Coturnix japonica: one gene and its partners. Each later gene encodes a partner of the first gene's protein in a complex. Links are inferred from orthologs where the notes say so. Each region holds a gene or a part of one and is shown in the gene's direction. Other genes may lie near its edges.

What was found.
Region 2: SNRNP40 (region 1) and RBM48 share a complex: the UniProt entries of both Homo sapiens proteins name them as parts of the minor spliceosome. The link is inferred for Coturnix japonica from reciprocal best matches to the Homo sapiens genes SNRNP40 and RBM48.
Region 3: SNRNP40 (region 1) and LSM4 share a complex: the UniProt entries of both Homo sapiens proteins name them as parts of the U4/U6-U5 tri-snRNP complex. The link is inferred for Coturnix japonica from reciprocal best matches to the Homo sapiens genes SNRNP40 and LSM4.
Region 4: SNRNP40 (region 1) and SNIP1 share a complex: the UniProt entries of both Homo sapiens proteins name them as parts of the minor spliceosome. The link is inferred for Coturnix japonica from reciprocal best matches to the Homo sapiens genes SNRNP40 and SNIP1.
Region 5: SNRNP40 (region 1) and LSM6 share a complex: the UniProt entries of both Homo sapiens proteins name them as parts of the U4/U6-U5 tri-snRNP complex. The link is inferred for Coturnix japonica from reciprocal best matches to the Homo sapiens genes SNRNP40 and LSM6.
Region 6: SNRNP40 (region 1) and BUD13 share a complex: the UniProt entries of both Homo sapiens proteins name them as parts of the minor spliceosome. The link is inferred for Coturnix japonica from reciprocal best matches to the Homo sapiens genes SNRNP40 and BUD13.
Region 7: SNRNP40 (region 1) and RNF113A share a complex: the UniProt entries of both Homo sapiens proteins name them as parts of the pre-catalytic and catalytic spliceosome complex. The link is inferred for Coturnix japonica from reciprocal best matches to the Homo sapiens genes SNRNP40 and RNF113A.

Annotation. Positions count from the first base shown.
Region 1 is NC_029538.1:602,876-606,375, reverse strand, and holds part of SNRNP40 (U5 small nuclear ribonucleoprotein 40 kDa protein), read left to right. Parts: intron 1-26; coding exon 27-149; intron 150-1,118; coding exon 1,119-1,239; intron 1,240-1,965; coding exon 1,966-2,048; intron 2,049-2,467; coding exon 2,468-2,529; intron 2,530-3,500. UniProt on the Homo sapiens protein: Required for pre-mRNA splicing as component of the activated spliceosome. Component of the U5 small nuclear ribonucleoprotein (snRNP) complex and the U4/U6-U5 tri-snRNP complex, building blocks of the spliceosome.
Region 2 is NC_029517.1:20,668,994-20,673,030, forward strand, and holds the start of RBM48 (RNA-binding protein 48), read left to right. Parts: upstream 1-1,237; 5' UTR 1,238-1,439; coding exon 1,440-1,565; coding exon of another isoform or gene 1,566-1,655; exon of another isoform or gene 1,656-1,677; intron 1,678-1,735; exon of another isoform or gene 1,736-1,764; coding exon of another isoform or gene 1,765-1,878; intron 1,879-2,521; coding exon 2,522-2,712; intron 2,713-2,838; coding exon 2,839-2,984; intron 2,985-3,653; coding exon 3,654-4,037. Other genes in the region: PEX1 (peroxisome biogenesis factor 1), read right to left, coding at 1-472, 562-676, 917-1,000, 1,094-1,237, 1,527-1,655. UniProt on the Homo sapiens protein: As a component of the minor spliceosome, involved in the splicing of U12-type introns in pre-mRNAs.
Region 3 is NC_029543.1:3,005,695-3,009,986, forward strand, and holds the start of LSM4 (U6 snRNA-associated Sm-like protein LSm4), read left to right. Parts: upstream 1-1,492; 5' UTR 1,493-1,607; coding exon 1,608-1,610; intron 1,611-1,734; coding exon 1,735-1,776; intron 1,777-1,904; coding exon 1,905-2,003; intron 2,004-4,151; coding exon 4,152-4,292. Other genes in the region: PGPEP1 (pyroglutamyl-peptidase 1), read right to left, coding at 1,185-1,218. UniProt on the Homo sapiens protein: Plays a role in pre-mRNA splicing as component of the U4/U6-U5 tri-snRNP complex that is involved in spliceosome assembly, and as component of the precatalytic spliceosome (spliceosome B complex).
Region 4 is NC_029538.1:3,338,324-3,342,617, forward strand, and holds the start of SNIP1 (smad nuclear-interacting protein 1), read left to right. Parts: upstream 1-1,494; 5' UTR 1,495-1,518; coding exon 1,519-1,670; intron 1,671-1,752; coding exon 1,753-1,849; intron 1,850-2,705; coding exon 2,706-3,289; intron 3,290-3,950; coding exon 3,951-4,215; 3' UTR 4,216-4,294. Other genes in the region: DNALI1 (axonemal dynein light intermediate polypeptide 1), read right to left, coding at 1-64, 147-283, 1,284-1,364. UniProt on the Homo sapiens protein: Required for pre-mRNA splicing as component of the spliceosome. As a component of the minor spliceosome, involved in the splicing of U12-type introns in pre-mRNAs. Down-regulates NF-kappa-B signaling by competing with RELA for CREBBP/EP300 binding.
Region 5 is NC_029519.1:27,572,606-27,576,634, forward strand, and holds the start of LSM6 (U6 snRNA-associated Sm-like protein LSm6), read left to right. Parts: upstream 1-1,229; 5' UTR 1,230-1,418; coding exon 1,419-1,590; intron 1,591-3,825; coding exon 3,826-3,939; intron 3,940-4,029. UniProt on the Homo sapiens protein: Plays a role in pre-mRNA splicing as component of the U4/U6-U5 tri-snRNP complex that is involved in spliceosome assembly, and as component of the precatalytic spliceosome (spliceosome B complex).
Region 6 is NC_029539.1:4,398,579-4,402,173, reverse strand, and holds the end of BUD13 (BUD13 homolog), read left to right. Parts: intron 1-55; coding exon 56-149; intron 150-485; coding exon 486-591; intron 592-970; coding exon 971-1,109; intron 1,110-1,330; coding exon 1,331-1,515; intron 1,516-1,666; coding exon 1,667-1,748; intron 1,749-2,085; coding exon 2,086-2,179; 3' UTR 2,180-3,095; downstream 3,096-3,595. UniProt on the Homo sapiens protein: Involved in pre-mRNA splicing as component of the activated spliceosome. As a component of the minor spliceosome, involved in the splicing of U12-type introns in pre-mRNAs.
Region 7 is NC_029542.1:2,229,020-2,233,238, forward strand, and holds the start of RNF113A (E3 ubiquitin-protein ligase RNF113A), read left to right. Parts: upstream 1-1,419; 5' UTR 1,420-1,483; coding exon 1,484-1,583; intron 1,584-1,799; coding exon 1,800-1,876; intron 1,877-1,972; coding exon 1,973-2,077; intron 2,078-2,957; coding exon 2,958-3,065; intron 3,066-3,341; coding exon 3,342-3,451; intron 3,452-3,665; coding exon 3,666-3,772; intron 3,773-4,181; coding exon 4,182-4,219. UniProt on the Homo sapiens protein: Required for pre-mRNA splicing as component of the spliceosome. As a component of the minor spliceosome, involved in the splicing of U12-type introns in pre-mRNAs. E3 ubiquitin-protein ligase that catalyzes the transfer of ubiquitin onto target proteins.

The DNA of each region.
Region 1 (3,500 bases):
AGTTTTACAACACAATGTCTTTTCAGCTGTGGGATATCAGGAAAAAAGCTGCTGTCCAGACATTTCAGAATACTTACCAAGTCTTGGCTGTAACCTTTAATGACACCAGTGATCAGATCATATCTGGGGGCATTGACAACGATATTAAGGTATGATGCTTGTGTCCTTGTGCTTCTTTCCAACCACCTTCACCTTTTCCATCCCATCAAAATTTGCTTTAGCAGCACGCAAAATGCCTTGGTCAAGGACAAATGTGGTTAATTTTACTGTCACGAGAACTGCACTGACCCACAGTGTCTTGATCTAAGGCCAGAAAACTCTGAGATAGTTGTTCCAGGGCTGTCTGCCATGTGACTGGCCATGCATCTTAGCGTCACACACTGCCACTGATATGGTATGCAAGCTCTTCTGGCAGCTGGTGCCCCTCACAGAGGCTCTAGAGCCATATATGTTGTACGCTAAAGAAAATTTGGTGACACATCCATGTTCTCTGACCCTTGCTTCAATAACTTACTTTGTCACCTGCTACTGTGGAAAGTTCTTATTTAAGAGCACGCTCAGTGTTCATTCACTTGGTAGCTGAGATTCTCCAGATAGCTTCACAGTTCAGTCAGCCTTGCTGTCTTTTTGGCCTCAGTCTCCAGTCTTACCTAGGCATGGGGAGCACATACTTGTCAGAGGGCCACCACTAAGCGTAGCACTGAAATGATTTCACTTCTAATTGCCCTTTGAATGGCAGTAACTCATAGAGAAAGAACAGCATGAAATTTTGAAGACTGGATAACTGCTCCTCTGTGCCATGGGTCAGTGGAATTTGGGAGCTGAGGGAGCTAGGCCAGATTGAAAGGAAATCCTGCGTACATCAGCTGCTGAAATTTAACTATTTTCTGCTGATGTGGTTGGACACGTTAGGTAAGAAATGGGGGGGAAAATTTGCCCTTTAGAGGACAACACATAACTTTATAGCCTTATATTTTAGCCATTCAGACCTTACCCAACTGCAAGTGGAAAGTTATTCATCAGATGGCTGATCAGTACTTGCATGAAATTGGAAAGAGCATTGCTAATAGTCTTGTCTGTCCATTCTAAGCCACAATTTTGTCTCTGCTGTCTGAAAGGTGTGGGACCTTCGCCAGAACAAGCTCACGTACACGATGAGAGGACATGCAGACTCAGTGACAGGCCTCAGTTTGAGTTCAGAAGGTTCTTACCTGCTCTCTAACGCAATGGATAACACAGGTATGTCCTGCCAAATGTGACAGCACAGCTGTGCAGACAACTGTCAGCCTCTGCCTTTGAAGAGCTGTGTGTGGTATTTCAGAAGGAGCAGCTGAAATTGGTCAATGTGCTAAAATAGGAGAGTCAGGTGGGCGGAATGCAGGCAGGGTCTGCAGAGAAACCTTCAGTTCTCTTTGTTTGAACCGTGACAGTTACATCCTTTGTAGAGAAGGAGCAGCTGTATCAGAAAGGTTTGTCACGTCTCCCAAAGGGCAATGAGGACATGGGCTGTGGCACAAGTTATTTGCACAGGCAGTTGAACATAATCTTGGTCTGGCTTTTGTCAGAGTGGTTCAGCTGCTTCCCTGCAGCAGGGAATGACAGTGCTGTTTCCAGACTGCTCATCTCCTGCGTATGGGTGCTCAGTGAAGCTGATCTGATTAGAAGTATGATCATGAAGTGTATTAGAATAAAGCAAATGCTCATGTGAGGAGACAGTAGCTCATTTGTGTAGTAGTTGTTTTGGAATTTTCCCCTCCTGTTGGGAGTGGTCTTAATGTAATTATAAATTACTGCATTTTACCTTTCATATCACAGCTTCCTGCAGCGGGAGGCTGTTGGTATCCTTTAGCTAAGGAAACGGGCATGAAAAGAACAAGGAATGCAACCAGATCTTTGATCATTAGCAGCTGACCTTGCCCCTGTAGTTCTGGTATCTCCTGCTAATTACTGTGTGCTCTGTTGCAGTTCGCATCTGGGATGTGCGACCGTTTGCCCCAAAAGAGAGATGTGTGAAGATCTTCCAGGGGAATGTGCATAATTTTGAAAAGGTGAGTGTATTACAGACCTAAACACTCATTTATACAGCGTTGCCACATGAACTTAAAGAACAGTTTACAGGGAAGTTAAAGTTTTAACCAGTGAGACTTTAATAAGGACTCGAAGAAACATTAACGCACAAAGTGAGATTCCAATTAAAGCTGTAGTAACAAAATTTCTTTGTTCACTTTGGCTATAATTAGCTGTAAATGAAGTATTTTCTACACATGTTGTATAAAATAACAAGGCACTGGATGTTTCCAACAATAAAACAAAATCTTTAATTACTTGATGAGAATCTTTTGAAGAGGGATCATTAAAGTAGTGCTCTTGATACTTAAAGTCTCATAGTGATTTTACTTGAACTGGAAGGGAAAAGCTAAATCTTCTTCGGAAATGGAACTGTGCCTATTGTTTTGTTTTGTCTTAGAATCTTCTGAGGTGCTCCTGGTCTCCAGATGGGAGTAAGATAGCAGGGGGATCTGCTGACAGGTGAGTTATCACCGTGTTTCTCTGTTACTGTCAATGCCAAACCATTTTTGCAATCACTGCTGAAATGAGCCTGGATAGTCTCTAAAATGAATATGAAGAGCCAGAGTTGTGCATGGAGGTGTGAAGACCCAAACAACCCCCTGTGGTAATCTGTGAGCATTGTCTGCAGCAATGGTAGCAGAGATGTGTTCATATTGCCTTTGCATCAGCGGAGGAGCACTATATGGTTGTAAAATCCTTATTACTGTTGTCAGAAACCTTCTAGAGAGCTCCATTTCTGCTTGTGTTCAGTCACTGCATCCAACAGATGGACAAGCAGATGACGGGAGCGTAGCTGGCAGCATGCGAGGTCTCTTGCAGTCATAGCAGCAGATTCTTGTGAGACTTCTCCAAAGGCAAAGATTCTGGCAGATTGCTGCAGAGTGCTGCATTTTGTGCTGATAATGACCACCAGAATCAGTCAAAGCTAGCAGGGAGCACCAGTGGCGTTTCGAGGATCGTTTGTGATCCTTACTTAATTAACAGGTGTGAGGAAATTAAGTTCTGACTAAATTAGCACATATCTGACTTATTTAAATGAGAGCTTCTGTAGACTGGATAACCAAAGGGTAAACTGGGCAGAGGGAGGAGGGCAGCAGAGGGTCCCTGCCAGACACTGAAGGTCGCCACGAAGGATACCAACCTGCTGGAGCAGATCCAGGTGCACTCTCAGTGACATGGAGACAGGAATTCCTGCAGGCCGGAGTCCAAGGCATGGAACAGCAGTAATCAGCAAATTAATGAGCTTCTGATAGACGACAGGGAGAGCTTTAGCTCATACTGTGCAGATATAGTGGGGCCAGCTGTCACAGCTGGCAGCTGAGACATGACCCTTCTTTCCAGTCCCACTGGGCTGCAGCAGCAGTGCATGAGGTGATGAATACCTGTTCCTTCATGGCTGGTCCCAGTGTGGGCAGCCTGACACGGTGAAG
Region 2 (4,037 bases), on another chromosome or scaffold:
ATGGCACCGTGTTTCAGAAATGCATGAACAGCTGATGCGTTCTGTACGCTGGGAGGCTGGGACTGGCATACTCTAAAAATGGAATCCATGTGAATTAAGTTCAGCAGCTTGTCTTTGAAGGCGCTCATTTCATCCTTATCACACAGAGTCTTTTGTTTCTGTTCAGCTGTACGAGAGAAAATGCTCCCTATGAAATTCCACATATTTGGGAGAACACTTGAGCCAAACGTCACATTTGCATCAGCCTTACTCTGTTCAGGGACTCCTGGGTTTAAGTGAGGTTGACTGGCAAAAGGCTCCTTTACAGTTACGTCTTGCTCCATGCTATTCTTCACAAAGCTCTTGAGTAAGATGTCACCTTCTGTAGAAGGCATGTCTACGACGTTTTCCTCAAGCTCACGCGCTTTGGGGCAGATCAGAAGCTCCGTGCAAGGTTCTAATCTCCCATAGGGGGCTGCTGGCATAAGTGTACCTGAGTATGGATAAATCAGATGAATGAATGCATCCACTCTTGCAAAACAGCTTACTCAAGGCACCAGCAAAGCATTCACTGCTGCTTACCAATTCTGATGTAAACGTGAGTGTGGTGTTCAACCCAAACAGGAAAGATGGCTTTGGGGAATACGATTCGGATCTGGTCCAGAAGATGCTTTTCAAGAGAGGAAGCGTGCAGTTCCTGGGAAAGTGTGGTATCATTGTAAGCTACACACTTGTACAACCTTTAAAATGTGTTTGAACATAGAAGATTCACATCTTTTTCTAATACACCATTTGAAACATAAAATACAATGAAAACCCACAAGACTTAGCATTTGCTTAGGAGCAGAAAAGAACGGGGGATTGCGACAAAAGCTTGTATCAACATTCTCTGTCATTTGCATGAAAATGATGTGAACAGTGGGACAGGTTTTCTTACCAGTATTTCCCAATCATCTGCTGAGAGCGGTTCCACTTCTACTTGCTGACAGGAGGAGACGTGTGAACAGGGCTCCACGAACACCTGATAGAAGCAACATTATTTCTGAATAATTTAACTCCTTAAACACATAAAACCTCTACTCAGAAACTCAAAAAAGGGACCTGCATTTCAAACCTGTTCTCCATCTGCAATGCCAAGCTTCTCTGCTAAATGCCTGTTCATCTCTGCGATATTTTCACCCCGCTGACCTCGATGCCTCATTTCCATCCAGCTCAGGTAGATGGGCTCATCACGGCAGGATACTTTGACAGCTTGGCCCTGTGATTATCAGGCAGATGAAACGAATTACTATCAAATCATACTCAGAAATACTCAGACCCATCTGGGTCCAGGGGCGAGGGGTCCCGGCCCGTTCGGAGGATGCACAGTCACCACAGCGACAGTGCGGGGGGCGGCTGGTTGCCCTGCGCTGTCGCTGTGGTGACTGTGCGTCCTCTCGAGGAGGGCTCTGAGCACCGCCATGATGACGGGATACGATGGGGGGAGGAAGGAGAACCTCTCTCCCACAATCCCCTCCGAACGGGCCGCCCCCATCTCGTCCCCGTACCTGCTGCAGGCGGAGGTGCGAGGCCAGCACGGCGGGCAGGTGAAGGAAGCAGTCCCGGGTCCCGCTCAGCACCACCGTCACCGCGGCGACTCCAGCGGCCCCTCCGCCGGGGTTACCGCTGCCCCACATGCCGCCAGCCGGGTGGGCCGGGCTGTAGTTGCTCGTTCCGCCCGGCTTCTCGGCAGCGCCCACTTCCTTCCCGGAAGAGCCGACCGGAGCCGCGGTGGCGGCCGGGAAGATGGCGGCGGGCGGTGCTGGCGGGCCGGGGGAGGCGTGTAGGCACCACCAGCAGCTGGGAGCATGCGGGTCCAGGGCCAAGTACCGCGAGGGGCGGCGACCCAGGGCCGTCAAGGTGCGGGGTGAGGGCGGGTGGGCTGCTGGAGACTTGTTTAGTCCGCAGGTGTCGGTGCTCTGACATCTGGAGAAGCATCAGCTCCAGCTGATGTTCTGTGATGTGTTCATCCCTGCTTGAGTTCATCCCTGCCCGCGGTGGCTCCACACAGCGGGCAGCACGAACGCTTTGAGTTGTTGTTTTCGCAGTGAGGTAAACGTGGGCATTTTAGAGCATTGAACAGCATCTCCCCTATGAGGAGAGACTTAGGGAAGTGGGTCTGTTTAGCCTTGAGAAAAGAAGGCTGAGAGGGGACTTGATCCAGGTTTATAAATACCTGAGGTGGGGAAGCCATAGTGGTGAGGCTGGTCTCTTTTCAGTAGTGCGTGGGGACAGGACTAGGGGTAATGGGATGAAACTACAGCATAGGAAGTTCTGCATTAATGTGTGGAAGAACTTCTTTACAGTGAGGGTGACGGAGCACTGGAACAGGCTGCCCAGGGAGGTGGTGGAGTCTCCTTCTCTGGAGATATTGAAGACCCGCCTGGACGCCTACCTGTGTGACATGGTGTAGGGAGCCTGCTTTGGCAGGGGGTTGGACTGATGATCTCTAGAGGTCCCTTCCAACCCCTACAATTCTGTGATTGTCCTGTGCTTCTTTCAGGTGTACACCATCAACTTGGAATCGCGTTATTTACTAATCCAGGGAGTTCCTGCGCTGGGCGTCATGAAGGAGTTAGTGGAGCAGTTTGCCTTGTACGGAGCCATAGAAGAGTACCATGCACTTGATGAATATCCCGCAGAGCAGTTCACTGAAGTTTATCTGATAAAATTCCAGAATCTGCAATGTGCCAGGTATTATACACAGCACTATCTGCCTTTTGTTGTTTTAATCCTTCACGGCCCCTTTATGTATGATCTACATCATACAGAGTTGAAGTAAAACCCTCAGCTCTGCTAATGCCATTTAGTTTCCTTCAGGGTGGCCAAGAAGAAGATGGATGAGCGCAGTTTCTTTGGGAGTTTGCTGCACGTGTGCTACGCTCCAGAATTTGAAACAGTCCAAGAAACCAGGGAGAAGCTGCAGGACAGAAGGAAGTATATTGCAAAAGCAACAAATCAAAGAGGTTTGTAGTTAAATCTCATGTCCAGTTTTAATTCCAGTGGTTGGTACGTCTTGGTAAAGCCAAAAGCATCCATTGATGAAAATATACTGTGTTTAGCTGTTTTACATTAGGACATTTCTCAGTTATTCCTAGAGATGGACCTTTCAGAAAGCAACGTTTTAGTTAACATGCACTTTAAAGCTTTTAAACCTCATTGTTTCCTTCATTTCTTTTCAAAACGTTACCTGAAATTTTAAGTACTGCCAGGAAACTGAGGATCAGTTTGTTCCCCTTGTTACAGTTCTTTCAGGCATACCCAAAAAGAGAGATTAGTAAGAGAGCCCCCTCCCTGCCCCTTATTTCCTGCCTGTCATTTGGGTCAGTAAGGAACACGAGGAATGGATTGGGCTGACAGGCAGCTTTGCTGCTGAGTTCCCAGGCAGCGCTGAAGGCTGGACAAGCTGTAAAATAAGTACAATGCCAGGCACAGGCTTCTCCTTTCCTATGCTTATGTACTTGGATATCATTATCCACTGCAGGTGCTGCTTAAGCAGAATCACAGGAAGGTGACTGGGAATGAAGTATTGCTGGTATTATTTCTGTCACTGTATTGAACACTTTATGTATTAGAACTAACAGTGGCATAAAATAATGAAGCTGTTTTCCTTTTCTTTTCTTGTTGTTTTAAAGACTGCTTTCTGTTGAAGAAAACAGAGAGGCCTCGGAGGACCAAGTCTGATTCTCAGTGGAGTACCCCAGGATCACATGCAGCCACTCACTGGGATCCATCCTGCTTTCCAGTTCCTCATGGGTTGTCCCAAAACATGGAATATCCTTCTGGCAATCACAGTCAGGACCTTTTGGCTTTTCCCCACTGCGACAACCCCAGTGCTGAAACCTCTGGGAACTCCAGTCAAAGCTCATCCCTAACTCAGAAGGCGCATCCAGGAGGATGTGCTGCACCAGTGCCTTTAATTCAGCAAAGAACAGTTCCAGCTGATAACGGCATTGACAGGTTTATGCCTCGTACAACTCACCTGCAGGAACGTAAGAGGAAGAGAGAAGAGGGTAACA
Region 3 (4,292 bases), on another chromosome or scaffold:
TGTAACAGCCCACAAACACAGACAAGTCTCCATCCAGCATTTCTCTGCTCACACCTTCACCAAAATCCCTTCTGCCTTAATAGGAACCAAACAAAGCACTGCTGACCCACCTGCACCGAGCACCAAAGGTTACACAACGCTATAAAAACACTTACGTCCCCAAATCTGCATTTCCTAATGAGTAACTCGGAGTTAACTAGTAACCCATCACATCTTTCCCTGAGCGAGCACACAAAGGTTGGGCATTTATCTGGGCGTGGGATCGATATGCTTTAATTTCAGATGGCAGAGCTACCCTGTGAGCCTAATGCAATCAGAAGGCACGCACTGCATCTAAGTCAGGACCACAAATATTACATGACACACTAATGGAAACCTCCCATGTGCTGCCAGCAGAAGGGGAGGGCTGAGGTTACACCGCACACAACAGCAACAGGGCTTTGTACAGCTCAATGGGATCTCAGTATCAACCTGAGCCTCCAAGCGGAACCAGCATCAATATCTCCCCATAATAACCCTCCTGAAGGCTCCCACAGGATCCTAATGCACTTGTTGTTTCTCCATATATAAGCTATAGATGTGAGAGCACCAAACAGGTGTTTCATTGGGATGGTTTCAATATGAATCACACCAGCTTTCCAGGTACCCCAATGTAACCAAAACCTCTCGTTCTGAACCCAACTGAGCTGCCCCCTCACTCATCCTCCACACCGACCCCCAGATCGATTCCTTGCATATCAGATGAGCAACTTTATGGGTAGCACCAAACCCAGCCTCAGCCACCCCACACCCAGCACAGGGTCCTGCCGGGCACACAGCACTGAGCCCACCCTGCAGACCTTCATGGGGTTGCAATGGGGTCTCAGTGCGACCATCAGGGGCAGATCCAGCACCATCAGCTCTGAATGTTTGAAGCAGAGACCACCCCCCAACCCCCCCGGGGCAAGAGATGGGACAAATACAGCGGGGACCGGGGGGGGGGGGTATAACCGGAGGGGTCTGTGACACGCCGCAGCCCCGTCGCGCCCCTCCCAATCCCCGTACACCCCCACCAGGACCCCGACACCCCCATGTGCCCCTCACCGCCCCCTCCCAATCCCGCATCCCCCCCGTTGAGATAATGGAATCAGAGCCCACCCTGCCGTCCCCTCCCCACCCCCCGGTCTCGTTCCATCCGCCCGTACCCGTTACCACCACCGCCCTCCGCGGTTTCTCCATCTCCGCTCCCGCACCGCACTGAGCGACCGGCCCCGCACGGTCATAGAGCGCGCTCCGCCCCGACGCCCAGAGCGGCCCCGCGCGGCCATAGAATACGCGCCGCCCCGAGGACCAGAGCGGCCCCGCGCGACCATAGAGTGCGCGCCGCCTCGCTGCCTAGAGCGCCTCCTGAGCGCCGCTCCGTGCCGCTTCCCGCTCGGCGTTTCAATTTACGGCACTGTCGTGACGCTGTGCACCGCCAACCTCGGCGATGCTTTACGGCCGAGGCGGGTCCTGCACGCTGATTGGCTCCGCGAGGACCGCGCCGAGCTCTGATTGGTCCCGTGTGGGGCCGGGGGTGGTTTGAGCGGCAGCGCCCGGCGCGGCGGCGGCTCCGCGGTTCCGGCACGATGGTGAGTGCGGGAATGGGCCGGGCCGGGCCGGTTCGGTTGTCCCGGTACTCCCTGAGCCCCTACATGGGGATCCGAGGCGGTCCCGGTTCCCGGTTGTTGAGGCCTTTCTCTCTTTCCCCCGCAGCTGCCCCTGTCGTTGCTGAAGACGGCGCAGAACCACCCTATGGTGAGTCCCGGCCCACTCCCGCTGCGGCCTATGGGCCCGGTGCCGCCCCGTCGGGTCCCGTTGGGTCCCCGTGCCGCCCCGTCGGTCCCGGTTCCTTCATGCTGACCCCCCCCCTTTGCTTCTTCCAGCTGGTGGAGCTGAAGAACGGCGAGACGTACAACGGGCACCTGGTGAGCTGCGACAACTGGATGAACATCAACCTGCGGGAGGTCATCTGCACCTCACGGGTAACCAGCTCAATGCCAGGACCCCCATTGCGCCCATAGACCCCCTACTTTGAACAGCATCAAAGCAGATCAGGAATGAGTTGTCCCCATTGCGCCCATAGACCCCCCCCATTGCGCCCATAGACCCCCCATTGCGCCCATAGACCCCACATTGCTATCAGCCCCCAGCCCTGCAGCTGAGTGGGACTCGCAGAGATCCTCACCCTTCTGTGTGTGTTGCTTTTGCTTTGAATGTGAATGTAACGCAGTTATGAGGTGTAAGAAACGAATGAGCCCATTGACAGCAGGGTGAAGGTGCTCAGTGTGAAGGGCTGGTGACAGGTCCTGTCCCATTGCCCGCTCCATGCAGCCCCATCGAGCACAGTGCTGCCTTTCATCATCACCTGCCTCACGCCCTGTAACTCCACATCAAAAGTTATTAGGGCCTCTTGTTTAACCGGGTTGTGCCTCGTCTGCTACTTTTGCCCATGGCCAAAGTGCTCCGAGAAGAGATTGGGATCTGTGCTTTGAGCTCTGACCTCAGCCTCAAGTGTCTGGTCTTGTCCCTGGCAGCCTGTGCCTGGCCACGTTCCTGCTGCTGCTGCTGCTCTCTGTGCCTGGGAACATCACGGGTCTGTGGGGGAGGCTGTCAGGGAAACCCTTCTTCTTCAGGAAGGGTTTCTGTGCCTGTTGGACCCACAGCAGGAAGGTATTGGCCAATAGTGCTGGGGCACGGAGATGTGATGTGTGTACTTAAACAAAGCAAAGGTTTAAGAAGGATCATAACAGCAGAGCAGTGAGCCCTAAAAATCTGGATCCACAGATTGTTGGGGCAGATAAACAGATAAGTTCAATGGGAAGGGGTGGCAAGTGGCAAAGCCTTACTAGTGCTTGCAGAACAAGGGATGCCGGCCTTTAATACTGCTTCCTCATTAAGCAGCTTTGTGTTGCTGTGGGCAGAGCACTTCAGCATTTATACCCACCGAGTGGTCTGCAGTTCACTCCCCACCCCTAAATACCCCCTGGGTGCTACTGGGGGGGTATATATGGAAGCCTTCCTGGTGGCACGGTGGGGATCAGCCACTAGATGGCATGGAGCTGCGGCAGCTGTTTACATGGGGAGCTGGAACGAGGAAGCCGGGGACCTGGCTCCATCCCTTCCTGCATAGAGAGCCAAAGTGCAGCCGGGCGGATCCAGGCAGGGTGGGGTTTGCTGGGTGCCTGTTTGAAGAAGGCTGCTTGTCTCACACACACGGAACTTGCCTGTGCATGCTGCATTGCCCCAAATAACACCGGAGCAGAGGAGGAGGGGGGTACAACTTGATTCTGGAGAGGTGAAACGAGGCATTCTGGTTTCACCCACTCCTCTGGGATGTTGTGGACACTCTGTCCATGTGTGATAGTTGTGAGGAGCCTGTGTTCAGCCAAGCCCTGCAGCAGAGCACGGCCGTGCGCACGAGGTTCCATCCCTCCTCCCGCTTACATCAGTTGTTGTTCAACTTTCACATGCAGTTCCTATTCCCACAGCCACAGGAGCTGAAGCCCTGATGGGCTGTGTCCTAGCAAAGCCCTGAAACTGCCTTAAACAAAACACAGAGGCAGCTGCTCCGTAACTTGGCACCCGAAGGTTTCTTTGAACGTGATCTGTAAGCTCTTATTTTCCACAGCCGCGGTTCCTGTGCGCTGCTGGGCTCACCCCACACCCAGCTGGATGCTCCTCGCTGCTCAATCCACACCACAAAGGGGTTCAGTTTGTAGGTGACTCTGGTTGGGGCTTTATGTGCTGGAACTGCCCCGTGTTGCAGCAGCTGTGTTGAACTTACCACATTTCCCTCTCCAGTCCCACTTTCGATTCTCTTCTTGTATGAGAAGCAAAGGGAAGGTGCTGTTTCCTCTTCTTCCTTCACTTTCTGTGAGAGTCAAAGGCGGTTGTGAACGGGCTGAAACTGCAGTGGCTCATGGCTGAACGCCCCCTGACTCCCCAGCAGGTTGTAGGGCTGCGTGTTTTAAAGGGAAAACAGGAATTTCACAGCTAATTATGGGTTGTACATTCAGAATAGACTATTACATCTGTCGCACGCTTCAGAAGTGATGGAGATATTCAAGTGTCAAAAAGCAACTTAAGTGCACGTGGTTTTGTTCTCAGCTTAACACGTTGCTTCCCAATAGGATGGTGACAAGTTCTGGAGGATGCCAGAGTGTTACATCCGTGGCAGCACAATTAAATACCTTCGGATCCCCGATGAGATAATTGACATGGTGAAAGAAGAGGTGGTCTCCAAAGGCAGAGGCCGTGGTGGGATGCAACAG
Region 4 (4,294 bases), about 2.7 Mb from region 1:
CAGCCGGGTGCTGGGAACACTGGACACCTCCTGCACCCACAGCCGGTTATCCTCCTCCCATGACCTGCACCGGAAAGCAGCAGCGATGGAGCTCGGCGGGGCGGTCCTGAGTTAAGGCTCTTGTTGTTCCCCCCTCCCCGGCTCACCGCGGCGGTAGGATGGCGTTCAGGATCTCCTGAGGTTCCTTCGTGGAGGCGGCGGAGGCGGCAGCAGTGCGAGGTCGGGACGGAGGGACAGGGCCTGATGGCGGGGAGGCCTGTGGGGTTCCCTTCAACGGTGAGGCCTGAAGGGAGAAAGCGGTGTGAGCAGGATGGGTGAGGTGTGAGGGCTCCCCCCGTCCCATTCAGAATCACAGAAACACAGAATTATCAAGGTTGGAAAAGACTTCACTAGGAGAGTGGTGAGGCCCTGGAACAGGCTGCCCAGGGAGGTTGTGGATGCCCCGTCCTTGGAGGTGTACAAGGCCAGGTTGGACGGGGCCATGGGCAACCTGATCTATGGGGTCTCTATGGGGATCTATGGGGTCTCTATGGGGGTCTATGGGGTCTCTATGAGGATCTATGGGGTCTCTATGGGGATCTATGGGGATCTATGGGGGATCTATGGGGTCTCTATGGGGTCTCCTGGGCAACCTGATCTAGTAAATGTGTATGTTTGGTGGCCCTGCTTGGCAGGGGGGTTGGAACTACATGATCCTTGAGGTCCCTTCCAACCCGGGTCATTCTGTGACCTAGAAGATCATCTAGTCCAACCATTCCCAATACTTCCCAGCTAAATCATATTCATCAACACAACATCCAGATGTTTCTTGAACACTCCCATGGTCAGTGACTCCACCACCTCTTTGGGCAGTGCATTATAATGCCTGACTACCCTTCCTGAGAAGCAATACTTCCTAATATCCAGCGTGACTCTCCCCTGACACAGCTTAAAACCATTCCCTCTACTTCTATCATGGATTAGAGGCTCACTACAACCTCCCTTCTAACTTCTAACTAAGGGAGTTATAGAGGGCTATAAGGTCTCCCCTGAGCCTCTTCTTCAGGCTGAACAACCCCATCTCCCTCAGCTTCTTCTTATAAGTCCCCATTATGCTCCAGACCCCTCACCAGCTTCATAACCCTTTTCTGAATGTATTCTCAATGTCTTTCTTGCAGTGAGGTGCCCAAAACTGAACACAGGGGGACAATTACCTCCCTGTTGCTGCTAGTAACACTGGTTTTGATACAATATAGGATTCCTTTGGCCTTCATGGGCCATAATATCGGTTCATATTCACTCACCTCTGGTGATCGCTTCTCAGTACGGCGACTCACCAGCATGGGCGGGTTATAACGCAGCAGCGAATCGGGCGGTGGGATCATGGCGGCTCCTCGGTCGCTATGGTTATAAACGCCGCTCCGTTGTTTGTTCTAAAGGCGCATGAGCGTTAGGTAAAGATGTAGTTCCGGGTGGTTGAGAGAGAGGTAACACGGATGTGAAAACGTAATTCCGGTTGTGGGGGGAGTCGGTAGCAAGATGGAGGCTGAGAGTGAGAGGAGGAGGAGGGAGAGAAGGAGGGGGGAGATGGCGGTGAAGGCCGAGAAGCGCAGCCCACGGAGCTGCGGGTCCCGTTCGGCTTATGGGAGCCAATCCCCCCCCATTGAGGAGCGACGGGGCAGGAGCAGCAGGTAGGAGGCCTCATAGGGCCTTATTACGGCCCTGTATCGTAACCCTGAGGTTCTGTGCATTTCTTGTGTACTTGATTTAAAGGTCGCCTAAAAGGAAGAGTAAATCCGGCCGGAGGAGCAAATCACCGCGGGGGAGGAGGAGCAGGAGTCCGCACCATGGAGGTGTGAGGGTAAAGCAGGTAAATGGCGTTGGGAGAGGCCAGGCCCCACAGATCCCCATAGAGACCCCACAGATCCCCACAGAGATCCCATAGACACCCCATAGAGCCCCATAGAGACCCACTGAACCCCATACAGACCCCATGCAGACCCCATAGAGCCCCACAGACAACCCATAGATCCCCAAAGACACCCCATAGATCATGTTGCCCATGGCCCCGTCCAACCTGGCCTTGAACACCTCCAAGGACGGGGCATCCACAACCTCCCTGTGCAGCCTGTTTCAGGGCCTAACCACTCTCCTAGTGAAGAACTTCCCCCTAACATCCAACCCAAATCTTCCCTCTTTTAACTTAAAACCATTTCCCCGTGTCCTGCTATTGTCAGCCCTTTCCAAGAGTTTACTCCCCTCCTGGGAGTAAGTTCCCTTCAGGTATTGAAAGGCTGCAATGAGGTCACCCCGCAACCTTCTCTTCTCTAGGCTGAACAAACCCAACTCCCTCAGCCTGTCCTCATAGGGGAGGTGCTCCAGCCCCCTGATCCCTCTAGAATAACTCTTAAGGAAGAGAGAGTCTTACAGTGTAACATCTCCTTGCTCTCTGCTTCGTGTTTTCCTGGAAAGAACTGAGTGTTTGTACCTTTTAGTGAGCCCAGCCCCTGTTATTCCTGTAAGAAAATGAGTATTTGTGCCTTTAAGTGAGCCCAGCCTGCAGGCTGACCCTGAAGGCTGATGTTATGATGCATTGCTCTCTGTCAGCCTTGCATTGTTGGGCCCAAGTTGTGGGAATTCACTTTGGAAGGAAATAAATAAATCTAGATATACACGTACCATGTTACAGTCTGTGTTTTTCATGTGTTTTCTGTCTTCTTCCTCAGGAACGAGACGATCATCCTCACAGAGGAAATGAAGAGAGAAAGCAGAGACACACGTCAGAGCAAGAACACAGACGAGATAGAAGCGGTGACAGAGACAGGCACAGAGATCACTCAGACAGGAGGAAAAAGGAGGAAAGACCTGGAGGTCGAGGCCATGAGAGAGAAAGAGATGTTCAGAACATCCGTGAGCAACAAGCAGAGAGGGAGTTCTATAACGAAAGAAGACGAGAGCATCGACAGAACAACGAGGGGAGCGGTGCTGAGCAGAATCCAGAACACAAACAATCTGATAACAAACCAAAAGATAAAGCTGTAAACAAAGAAAAACCAAGCTTTGAACTGTCTGGTGCCCTTCTGGAGGATACCAACACTTTCCGAGGCGTTGTGATTAAATACAGTGAGCCCCCAGAAGCTCGGATTCCAAAGAAACGATGGCGTCTCTATCCATTTAAAAACGATGAGTTCCTGCCTGTCATGTACATTCATAGGCAGAGTGCTTATCTCCTGGGCAGGCACCGCAGGATAGCAGATATCCCCATTGATCATCCCTCCTGCTCAAAGCAACACGCTGTGTTCCAATACCGGTCAGTATCGCTCTGTATCCCTCTGGTAGGTGGGGATTATTTGGTCGCTTGCGTGCAAAGGGAATCAAAGAACGTATTGGATGTGCACAGATTAGAAAATGCATGTTTGCTCAATGGTTTTAGATAGGTGGAATTTAGGTATGGATGTAACATATATGTAATTCCTTTTTGTTTAACCATAAGCAGCCTCGTGACTCTTAACATATATATAATTCCTTTTGGTTTAACCATATCTAGACTTTTAGTAAGAAACACAACACAACAGGATGAAATACAGAACTGCCTGTATATCTGAATTGGAGTTATTAGCAGGTGGGATTGGCAATAAAGAACGTTTAAAGGAGGGTTTTTCATTTGTTCCTTCCCAACAAAGGCTGCCGATCTCCTTTATAAACAGCAGGGTTGTGTGCTTCAGGAGGCAGAGCTGCTCTCTTAAGGAACAACCATCTGTTCTGCTTCAGGATTTACTATGTTATATGATCATAACTTTAAGGGGTGAAGCAGTCTGTCAGAATCTTGAGTATTTCCGTGCCCTGTCTAATTATTCTCATTGTACTTGCTCAGATCTTTGAAGTATGGTTAAGTATTTACAACAGTGGGGCTGATGTGTTGAAAAATCCATGTGTTATCATTGACTTGATGGGTTGTTTTTGTTTTCTAGGCTTGTGGAGCACACACGCGCTGATGGCACAGTTGGCCGCAGGGTAAAGCCGTATATCATTGATCTTGGTTCTGGCAATGGTACTTTTCTAAACAACCAGAGGATTGAGCCTCAACGTTACTACGAACTGAAAGAAAAGGATGTATTGAAGTTTGGCTTCAGCAGCAGGGAGTACGTCCTTCTCCATGAATCATCTGATAAATCAGAGGCCAACGCAAAGGACGATGATGAGGAAGAGGAGAAGGAGGAAGAGTCCGATAGTTAACAGACATGAAGGCAATTGGGGATGGGGGAGCAGGGGAGAGGAATCTTTTACAATAAAACATGCATTGGGATGGAGATGT
Region 5 (4,029 bases), on another chromosome or scaffold:
CACCATTTATGTTTGAGGTGAAGAAGCTATAATGGAAACTTTGTGAGCTGCGAAGGACTGAAAACTCCCATTGTAATTTATGACCTTTCATCTGAGGCCAAATGTAAAGGCAATCACAATTGTTCTATATCTCAAGGCTGGCACATAGCAGATGTATGAAGTTTGGAAGTGTTAGACATAAACTTTTATTACCAAATTATAAATAATTTCTACCACTTACAATGTTCACCTTTCAAGTTCATCTTGATTAAAACACACGGGCAGAATGTCACTGATTTCAATGAGTTTTATACAGCTGGAAAAATGCTCTCTGCTTTGTGGAACGATAAAGCAATGCCATATTTTAAAGAATGTACTGATAGCAACGCATGCAAAGTTTTAGACCCAAATCCTTTTTCATCTAGATGACTGAAGCAAAAAGAAGAACCATTAAACAGTGGGTCTCATTTTTTCACACTCGAAGCTTTGAAATCTGCGAGGAGTCTACAGAATGGATTACATAATTCCTTTGAAAACCACCTACCTGAGCACTGGGATTGTGTGACTCAGGAAACAACACATTCTTTAGGTTGTGTATTTACAGTTGTGATTACATTATATAATCTTTGTGAATAAGCAAGAGAGAAATTTTCTTTCCCAATGCAAAACCCACTACACCAACATGCTCAGCAATGTGTCCTATTGCACAGAGGTTCATTTACTCAGTACAGCATGGAAGACTGTTTCAAGGCTTATACAGAAAACCAGGACAAATTTGCTAAGGTGTGGGTTCATGGCTCAGCCTCAAGCCATAGAAGTGGCGAGCTAAGGATACAACGTTGTCCATCTCTATTTCAGTCTTTCGGAATACATATGTTTGTAAATTTAGGACTAAAAAGGAAATTAGAAGGATTTTGTTGACTGGCATCAATGAACCAAGTATCCATAGACAGAAACGATAAAAATAGACAGAAACTATAAAGATAAGTTTAAAACGGACACAGATGAGGTTTTGCAGAGGTCAGGCCACAGCTGGGTGCAGAAGCAGAAAGCTGCTCCCCGTCCTTTGGCAGCAGGTGATCCCATCCAGCTCCTCCCTGCAGCGATAGAGGCGGCGCTACTCAGTGCAGCCACAACCCGCCCCGCTTTAGCGAGCGCGCCCGTCCCGCCGTGTCCCTGCCGCCGCGCCGTACCGCCCGCCGCTGATTGGCCGCGAACGCGGGGCCGGGCGCGCGTAGCAGCGGGTGAGTGTGAGCGGCGTTGTGTCTCGGCCCGGCCGCAATGGGGCACCGGGCGGCGGGGTGCGGGCCGGGCTGTGCCTCGGTGCGGGGAGCGGTGCGGAGGGACCTTTAAGCCCATCCACTTCCAGCCCCCTGCTGTAGGCAGGGACGCCTCCCTCTAAACCGGGTTGTTCGCATCCCCATCCAGCCTGGCCTTCAATGCCTGCAGGGTGGGATGTGCTGCTTATCCATATATCGGCTTTCACATCTATTCCCAGCGTACCGACACAAATCAAGATGAGCCTACGGAAGCAAACTCCCAGTGACTTCCTAAAGCAGATCATTGGAAGGCCTGTTGTTGTAAAGTTAAATTCTGGAGTCGATTATCGAGGTAAGATTCCACCTTGTCTGTGCAGTGAGATGTCCTGCTCCCTTTAGGCTGAGCCTCTCCAATAGCTCAGCCTCTACAATTATTTCTTTATCTCAGTCTTCGTTAAGTTTGGATGCTCTTATCATGCCTCTCCCATGAGGAGACAGGTGTTTTATTCTGGGATGATTTAAACGTTATGATCATGCCAGACATCGCTACTTCAGGTAGGTTTAATTCAGTTGGCTCATCTTAGTGCTCGTTTGTCCTTTGACAAGGAATCTTGGTGTTTGGACACCAGCCCAATGTCATACAGGAGTTATTTTCCTTTCTTTGTTTCCCTCCATTCTCCCTAACTCCCTCCTGGTGCTTACATTTGAGAAATGCACACTTCATTTCTCTACAGAAATTCGATCACTTGTATAAACCAAACATCAGGAAACCCAGCATCTCAGGCTTTTGTTGCAGATCTCTTCAGATTCTGCCTGTAGGCTACCCTTCTCATTTTATGTTTGCACCTCCACCCTCCCAGCCACTGTGAGCACAGCAGCTGCCTGGTTCTCACGTTGGTGTGCAGCTGTAAAATGTCTTGGTTCACTGCCAAGCGCTGTACTCATCTAAGAAGTCCTGGCAAAGTGCACGTGTAATCAGTTGTACAGATGGATATGAATGTAAAAACATTGCTGCATACTGATAAAAAACAGGCAAAATATGAGCCAGGGTGGGCAGCAACAGTATGTGATGCTATTAGTATTCTGGGAGTAAATACAAAGAAAAGAAAGACAACAATGAAAGAAATGAAGATGCACCCTGGCCAGTTGAGTGATAGCTTAAAAAAAAACCCCACAGCCCAACTTCAGCTTGGGGCAAACATTTGTTTTCTGTGGCATCTTGAAGCACTCAGGATTACTGGTGTGAAAATGTTGTCACTGACTTGGCTTGGAAGGTTTTGGTGTATTTAAAACACTTTGTGGCCAGACAGAATTTCCCCATTTATGTGGAAACAGGGATGAAAAACACATACAGGAAAATACCAATCCTCAAGCCATTACAAGTTGGCAAGAAAACTTGAATTCCTAATTATTTAATGGAGGATATTACAGTAACGCTTCTGGAAAATGAGAACATACCCTGGAGGAAGATTCTCAGACTGGAGTTCTCCCCCTCCTCAAATACAGCCAATGTACTGCATGTCTTCAGTTTTAATAGCAGGTAAATTAGATTCTTGTCCATTTTGGTAGTTGTATTTTTAATAGTGGTGTCTGTGTGCAAGGAGGAAGTCAGGAAACACACACAAACAAGATGGAGATGAGCAGCTTGTTAGAAGTTGTTTTATGTATGCAATTAGCAAATTGCATTGTGTACGTATTGCATTTTCTGAGCAGTTCTTCACATCCGTTAATCCCCACATTTAGTTCACTATGTAAATGTTCTGTTTGTACATCACTTAAATTTGGCTGAAGATTTCAGTGTCATATGAAAACCCTTTCCCCGTTGAAGATGTAGAATTGATTTACACAGAAATCACGCTGGCAGCCCATGTTATTCTGTCTATAAGAATGAAAATCACAGAATCACAGAATTGTAGGGGTTGGAAGGGACCTGTAGAGATCATCGAGTCCAACCCCCTGCCAAAGCAGGCTCCCTACACCACGTCACACAGGTAGGCGTCCAGGCGGGTCTTGAATATCTCCAGAGAAGGAGACTCCACAAGCTCCGTGGGCAGCCTGTTCCAGTGCTCTGTCACCCTCACCGTAAACAAATTCTTGTGCACATCCGTGCAGAACTTCCTGTGCTCCAGTTTCTGGAAAATAAATCAGAAAAATGTGCGTGGTGTCCTGTATTAGAAGGGTTATTTCTCACATATATCCTTGATGAGCTTTGGTCAAAACTCAGCTTGTAGCCTTGTTCTTAGGCTGCCCAGTTACACTTTATGTCACAGGTTCTTCTCAGGAGTTGGGCATAAAACAAAAGTAAAAAGCAACAACTAAACTTTCAGAATGGAAGATGTTCTCTTTCAAAGTCACGTCTCAGTGAGTTCTCCCCACCCAGTCATGTACAGGACCTGGAGTTCCCTACTCTCAGTTTAGTTCCTTTAATGCTCTCTGGGCTGCTGACTGACTCACCTGACCACATTTGGAAGTTTAGTTTGCTATGAAGATACAATTTTTTTCCTTGTACTGTTCAAATGCAAAGCCGTTTTGTTTAGTTCAGAAATAAGCTAAAGTTGATTCACTTTTAAACTATCACTCTCTTTAGGTGTCCTGGCTTGCCTGGATGGCTATATGAATATAGCTCTGGAACAGACAGAAGAATACGTAAATGGACAGTTAAAGAACAAGTATGGGGATGCATTTATCCGAGGAAATAATGGTAACTCCTCCTTCTTGTGCTGTATGTACTTTTTACAGCGCTTCTTTTCAGTGCCTGTGCTTTTCCTCAGACCTGGATGAGTTCTGTTCA
Region 6 (3,595 bases), on another chromosome or scaffold:
CTCTTAAATGTGTTTAGAGCAAGTCTTCATGCTCCAATTTCTCTCATCCTCAAAGGGCTCTGCCTTCTGGAAAGGGTCAGCGTGGTTCAAGGAGTCCCTCCAATCTCTCAGATCATCGCTACCCAGATGAGAAGGGATCTCCCAAGAAGGTAAGGGGTTTGTCTTTCCGTCTGTGCTGAAGATTGCTTCCTCTGATAGCAATCATTAACAGTGTGATGGCTTACAGATGGTAGAGCAGATATATAGCTTGTAAATGCAGCTGTGCCACACTGTCAGTTTGCCATAAGACCACGTGTGAGGTAGATGGAAGATGAGCTCTGCATGAGCACTCTGTATTTCTGGAAGTCTGTGGAAGCTGTTTGCAAAGATGGCAGCAAAGTGGCTTTGTAACAGAGCTGCCTCTCGTGTAACTTCCCCTTATCATACCTGTGAGTCACTGGGCAGCTCTCAGCCAGCAGTAAATGTGATTCTTGTTTGATTTGCAGGCCAAGATGATGTCTGGGGTCAAAGCTGGTTTGGTGTCAGCTGACGTGCTGCGGAAAGAGCAGCAGGAGCTCAGGAAGCAGGAGAGAAGTAGCAAGCACTTGGAAGGTAAAAGTCTGAAACCAGTGCACAGACATCAGCTTTTAGTCTGCTTTTGGCTGCCTGTTAATGCTGTATCAGGGCATGTCTTAAAATGCTGGTAGTAAGGGTGTTGATGGAGAGTGTCTGTGTTGGCTGGCATCCAGGCATGCTGATGAATATACACAGGTAAAAGCCACTGGGTCTCTAAAATAGAAATTTATGAGTGGTGATTTCAAAGAGGTGCCAATGAGACAATTGTGAGGCTTTTGTGTCTCATCTGCCCCATCTGCTATTCCTGATCTGAAGGAGCAGGCTGTTACACCTATAGCTCATTGCATGAGCTATGGAGTGGTTTGGAAACTGAAATATTCCCACGTGAGTGACTCAGGATATCTGTTATCCCTAGAGGAATCCCGACACACGGAAACCATCTTCCGCGACAAGTCAGGCCGCAAGAGGGACCTTGTGCAGGAACGTCTTGAGCAGAAGCAGAAAGATGAAGCAAAGTTGTTGCATGATGAGCAATATGCCAGATGGGGAAAGGGGTAAGGTGTCTTGGTGACATGTCACTTTACAGGTTGCAGACTGGGGGTTGGCAATGAGTTTTGTGCCTGGGACCAGGTTATTTTGTGTGGGATTACCCTGTCTGTTGCTGGGTGCTTCTCAGGGATGCTACACACAGTAGATTCTGATCAATACTACAATTTGAGCAGATGGCAGTAAATTATTCCTTAGTTTTGAGGTGGTACTTTGTATGTGTTTTTAGATTAGCACAGGAAAGGCAGCAGCAGCAGAATGTGGAAGATGCAATAAAAGAAATGCAGAAACCATTGGCCCGTTACATTGACGATGAAGATCTGGATCGAATGCTGAGAGAACAAGAGAGAGAAGGAGACCCCATGGCTGAGTTCATCAAAAAAAGAAAAGCCAAAGAGAACAAGGAGAAGAAAGGTATGGAAAGCTGTGCTGGTGCAGGTTTTAATGCCCAAGGAGCATAGAAATGCAGCTGCTGTTCAGTGAACAGTGTGAGGTTGCTGTGGCAGCTGAGTCCTGAAGATTGCATTGTAGTAACCAATGTCTGTATTGCTGTTTTTGTCTCTAGAGAAACCTAGGTACAGTGGACCAGCACCTCCTCTCAACAGATTTAATATATGGCCTGGGTATCGCTGGGATGGGGTGGACAGGTAGGTATTCCTGATACACTGATGTCATTGAATGGTAGTAAAACTAAATGAGCTTTTGCCTCAGAGAGCTTACAGTGAGTGAGATGCAACTTATTCAACCTTAACACTTCTCATGGTTATGAATGGCTGGTAGGGACATGCTTGTCTGGGACAAAAGGGAGCCAGGTTCTGTTCTGATCTGTTGTGGCACTGCCTGCTGTTTGCCACAGCTCAGAGTGGAAACTCAGCTGGAGGTGTTGATGCAAAAGTAGTGGCAAACATGTGATGTCATTTAAAAGCTTTGTGGCTTTAGTAGATGTGCACGGTAGCCCATGGTCTTGTTGGTGTTATTTTGTAGGTCCAACGGATTTGAGCAGCAGTTCTTTGCCAGGATGGCCAATAAGAAGGCAGTTCAGGAGCTGGCATACAAGTGGAGCATTGAAGACATGTAGATAGAAGAAATAACCATGTGAAACAGCACGACTGAATTGAGATCTGCCTGCTACCACTGCCAGAGCCAAAAGTAACGGCTCCTCTGCCTGGACCAAGCACTGTTCTTGGCATTCAGTATCCCAGTGGATTGTCTTCTTGGAAGCAAGGCTGTGTTTAGAGGAGAGCTGCTGGAAAAGGATTTTCCTGCCAGCCAGAAAGGACCAGTGCCAAAAACTGGAGTGGCTGCTGCCCACAGAGGAACACTTCTGCTCCCTGGTGTTCCTTCATGAGGTGCTGCAGACACTGGTGTCTGACCCACTTATTTCTTTACTAATAAACTGTAGAAACTGTGTTGAAATGTTCTATGCCAAATGCTTTGTCCTCTGAAGGCAGTTGACAGGTCTTCAGATGTCCTAAATCTCAGGTTTATTTCATGGTGGAAGCATGCTGGGATTTAAGTCATGGAGGGTTAATCCTATCTGGTGTGTTGGCCTATTGCAGCACACGGTTGTGGTTTCAGCTATGGCTGAGTTCTTCCAGAGGGTGTTTTTTGCTCTGAAACAACTTAATACTGTGAGCTGATTTACCTGTGGGCTCATGTTATGTCTGCCCCATGTTCTCCATGTCCTTGCTAATGAGCCCAGAGAGCTTCTGCTTGTTCAATGTTGTGTAACTCTTAACCCTTCTGGTTCCTGGAGTCTTTGGCTTGCAGTGAAGTTAGCACAGCAGAGCTTCCTGTAGCCCTTATGGGAGCTGTGCCAGGTGGGTCAGTATGTGGCAAGAAGCTGCTTGCTGTACATATAACTCTAGTTCTCTACTAGAAATGGCTGAATGAACAACACGCCATGTTATATTTGACAGCAAAGTCTTCAGAAGCTCCAGCAGCTCCTTGGGGGTCAATTTCTTGTGGCAATAAACACGCAGAGGCCATTTAAACTGTTTCCCTTGGCCATTATTTTCTTCAGAGTAGCTAATGGTCATGGATTAGTCCCTACAGCTTTCTCTCTGGACAGCCTTGCTGATGGCTCTTAGCGCTGCTGCCTGGGGGCTCGCTTCAGCACGAAGCATAACCTCTCTCTTGTGATTAGATTTGTCCAGCTTGCAGCTGGAGGCCAAGCAGAGCGCTGCGCTCCATCCCTGATTGCAAGAAAGCATTTCTAACTAAAAACAACGGGTTGGTAACAGACATTGTATGGAAGGGTTACATAGCAACAGCATCGGAAGGTTGTGAGCCTGAGATGCTCTACCAATGAGTGTCACCACTGTACCTCACAACTGAACGCCACCGCTGCAAGAAGAAGCTCCCAAGCTGCTCCACCGGACCCTTTTGTTTAGAGAGCATGGATCTCTTTCTTTATTGTCTTAAGCTGTTTGTTTGGTCTGTTATCTGAGCTTCAGGTGGCAGTTTATTGATGAGCATCCAGATGAAGTGAAGC
Region 7 (4,219 bases), on another chromosome or scaffold:
AAGAAAATGGATCTGTCCAACCCCACCACACCCCCAAGCACGGGATGCAGCACACAACAAAGAGGGAGCTCAGCACAGCTGGGGAACCCCAAAATGTTCCTACCCACCCCCCTCTAAACACCGCACGCCCAGACCCTATTCACTCCCCTCCCCGCTCAGCACCGGGTGCGGACCCCTCTCCATTTCCCAACAGAATCCCAACCCCAAAAGGCATCCAGAGCTCAGACAGCATCCCCCGAGTGCTCCCCCACCCTAAAGTCCCTCGACCGAGCCGCCTCCCGGAGCAGAAGTTCCCCCCTGGAGGATCACACAGACATTTTGGGGGGGGGGGTCCCCCACCTGCTGCGCAGCCCCATATGGCAGCACCGCTATCGGGGCTCCCCACCTGCAGCCCCCATTTCTCCCCATCATCTCCGAGCCCTCCCACCCCGCTTTGTTCCCCTCCCCCATTGTTCCCGACAAACCCAAACCCACCATACCCCCGGGTCCGCCGCCGAGCAGCACAAGGGCTGAGCCCTCCCCGTGCTGTCCGTTGCTCTGTCCGTCCGTATCTCCGTCGTTCGCTCCGTCCCTTCCTCGCTCCGTGCGCGCTCCCCCCGCAGCCCCTTTTATCGCGCGGCCGTGGCGGCGATTGGTTCCTTGCGCGGTGCGGATCCGAGCGCCGCTCCTTTGTGTGCGGCCGCCTCTCCCTCACCCGGCGGCCCCCGCTGCCCCCACCCCAAAACCGCATCGCCGGCCCCATCCCACCGACCCCCCTCCCCAACCCCCCCATACCCCCCCCATACCCCCNCCCCCCATACCCCCCCCATACCCCCACCCCGCATTCTGCCGCCCACCGTGGGTGCGATGCTGCGCTCGGGGTCGCGAAGCAGCGCTCGGGGTGCGGGTACCACCCAGCGAGCGGAACCGCGATGGTGGATGGGGTTCTGTAGGGGTTCTGCTGGGGTTTTGTTGGGGTTCTATTAGGGTACTGTTGAGGTTCTGCTGGGGTTCTATTGGGGTTCTGCTGGGGTTCTGTTGGGGTTCTGTAGGGATTCTGTTGGGATTCTGCTGGGGTTCTATTGGGTTCTGTAGGGGTTCTATTGGGTTCTGTTGGGTTCTATTGGGTTCTGTTGGGGTTCTGCTGGGGTTCTATAGGGTTCTGTTGGGGTTCTATTAGGGTTCTGTTGGGGTTCTGTTGGGGTTCTATAGGGGTTCTGTTGAGGTTCAGCTGGGGTTCTGCTGGGGTTCTGCTGGTGTTCTGTTGAGGTTCTGTTGAGGTTCTGCTGGGGTTCTGCTGGGGTTCTATTCGGGTTCTATTCGGGTTCTTTTGGGGTTCTATTCGGGTTCTATTGGTGTTCTGTTGGGGTTGCTATGGCGACTCGCAATTCACCCTCCACGCCTGCAGGTGGCGCTATGCGGCCCGAGTCCTCCCGTCCAGCAGGGGGCGCTGTGCGGCTCTGCGCCCATCTAGTGCCGCTCTGTCTTGAGGCGGCGGCTCAAGATGGCGGAGGGAGGCTCAGTGTGCGGCTTCGTGTTCAAGAAGCGGGGCCTGGCGGCGGGGAGGGGGCGGCGGAAGCGGCCCAGCAGCGACCAGGAGCAGGGTGAGGGGCTGACGGGGGTGGTATATCCCGATGCGGCCTGTTGTGGTGCACGAGGGAGGCGGAGGAAGGCCGTGGGTCGTACAGCCCCTCAGTGGGGCCCGGTTATTGAGCTGTGTGATTGAGGGGCGCTGCCTCCATCCCCGGAGCCCCGCGGTCAGGCCCATTAAACCCCATTAAACCCCATTAAACCCCATTAAACCCCATTAAACCCCGCAGGGAGCAGCGGCGATGAGGGCAGCACCGTGGTGAGGAAGGAGCGACGGAGGGACGCCCCCAACCCCATGATCCAGAAGGTGAGGTGCACACAGGGCGCTGTGCTGTTGTTGTGTGGGGCACATCCAGCCTTCACACCCGCTGTCTGTCTGTCTGTCTGTCTGTCCGCCCTTCAGACCAGGAGGTGCACAAAGGAGCGGCCCTCATACGCCCTGAGCAGCAGCGATGATGATGATCCGTCGAAGGAGATCGGAGTCACGTACAAATCAACAAGGTCGGCGGTAAGGACTGAGCGCAGATGAGCTTCTGGGGTGGGGTTAATCCCATACTCATATCCCATACTCTGCTTCTGTAAATGTGCCATCAGCTCTTCTCAGTTTTGATCTGTAGCTGTGTTTCCCTGTCCCTCCCCTCCTAACACACAAGCTGGGTTTATTCTCCTGATATTCTGCATTGTTCAACAAGGAGCTCAGAGCAGCTCTGCTGGGAGGAAAGGTTGAGGGAACTGGGCTTGTTTAGCTTGGAGAAGAGAAGGCTCCGGGGAGACCTCATTGTGGCCCTAATACTTGAAGGGCAGGGCAGCACGTTCTTAGGAGGAGGTGGAGCCTTTGGGGTTCCAGAAGCTTTTGGTGTGTAAGATGGGTTTGTTTTTAATTTGAGGCTGGTTGTAATTATTTGGTTTCTGTGCAAATGAAGAGCTGACAGAACCTCAGAGCATTTGTCTGTTCACTGTATTCACAAGGAACCAAGACTAGATCACTGAATTAAAACAGAGCACAGGCTGCCCACAGCTGGGTTAAAAGTTCAGATATAACATCCTGCCTGTGGGCTGGGTGGTCTCATGGCTGAAGCACTGAACATGAGAGACCTGAGATCAGTTTCCAGCTAAGACAAGATGAAGCTTGAAGGAGTAAAGTGGGGATTTCTGTGTCCTGACTCTGCAAACTAAAACCTGGGAGCAGTCAGTAATTAACATCCTGTCTTGCACAAGTACTAGGCTGGATGCTAAGAGAAGATGCTAATAGAAGTTAGAAACTGCTGGAGGGTGAAGCAGGCCATGCCCAGCACTTGTTCAGTGACTGGCCCTCCAGGTAGCCGAGGGGTTTCTGTCTCATGCAGCCTTTCTTTTTACTGTTATCACATATTGTTCTTGCTTTTCAGAAACCTGTTGGCCCAGAAGACATGGGGGCCACAGCAGTGTATGAACTGGACACAGAGAAGGATAAAGATGCCCAGGCCATCTTCGAACGCAGCCAGAAAATACAAGAGGTTGGTCAGCCTCACTTCTAAGAGTTCATGCTATGCAGGAGTGTGTGTGCTTACTCATCTCCTTTTGCATGCCAAGACCTTGAGTCTTTTCTTGCCTGCATATTTGAGAGGTTGGAAGTGTTGTCTATGTAAATGGGGGGACTTGCTGGTGTTATTGACTACTTGGTATTAAGGAAGGTATGGCCAGGAGGGGAGGTTGGTATGGGAGAGATAAAAGCTCGCTTGTGACATGAAGATCTTCTGACCCCTAATTGCCTTTTTTTTTTTCTCTTCTAGGAACTGAGAGGAAAAGAAGATGATAAAATTTACCGTGGTATTAACAATTACCAGAAATATGTGAAGCCCAAAGACACGTCAATGGGAAATGCCTCTTCAGGAATGGTCAGGTAGGTTGGGACGAGCCTGGGATGGGGGGGGTGGATCATAGAACCACAGAGAATTTCAGACATTGTCCCCAGGGGCACTTTTCTGGGCTGAAATGATGCTGTTTTTGGAGCTTGTTCCTATCTAATGAGTTTGGTGTCTGGTTCTGGCCGGGCCCGCAGGGGTTTTCTCCATTGCAGTGACACAGCTGGACTGAGCCTTCTCCCACCCTTTCAGAAAAGGACCCATCCGTGCTCCAGAGCACTTGAGGGCCACGGTGCGGTGGGATTACCAGCCAGACATCTGTAAGGACTACAAGGAAACAGGGTTCTGCGGCTTTGGAGGTGAGTGGGTCTTGCCTGCAGGGATCCAATCCAGATGGTGAGCCCAAGTTTTGTGGCATGAAATTGCACAGTTAGTAATTCATGGGCACCTGTTTGCAGAGTTAGTATTTCCTCACCTGAGGTTATGTAGGTGGTGGGATCTCCTTTTCCTTTTCCTATGTGGGTGAATGCTGGAGCTCTTGCTGTGGCATCCAGAACGTGATGCTTGTGGCCTGTTGATCCTGAGAGGGCAGGATGAGGCCCTCTCTTGGCCTCATCTCTCTTGGCCCTGCCCTGTAGCATGGGTGGGTACAGAAGTAATTGGGTTTCACCTTGTACTGAGCAAATCTCAGGCTGCCCCTGGATGAGGTGTCCTTTGAACAGCTGGGCAATGGGGGTAGATTGTTCATCCCTCTTTTGTGCTTTCCAGACAGCTGCAAATTCCTCCACGACCGCTCAGACTACAAA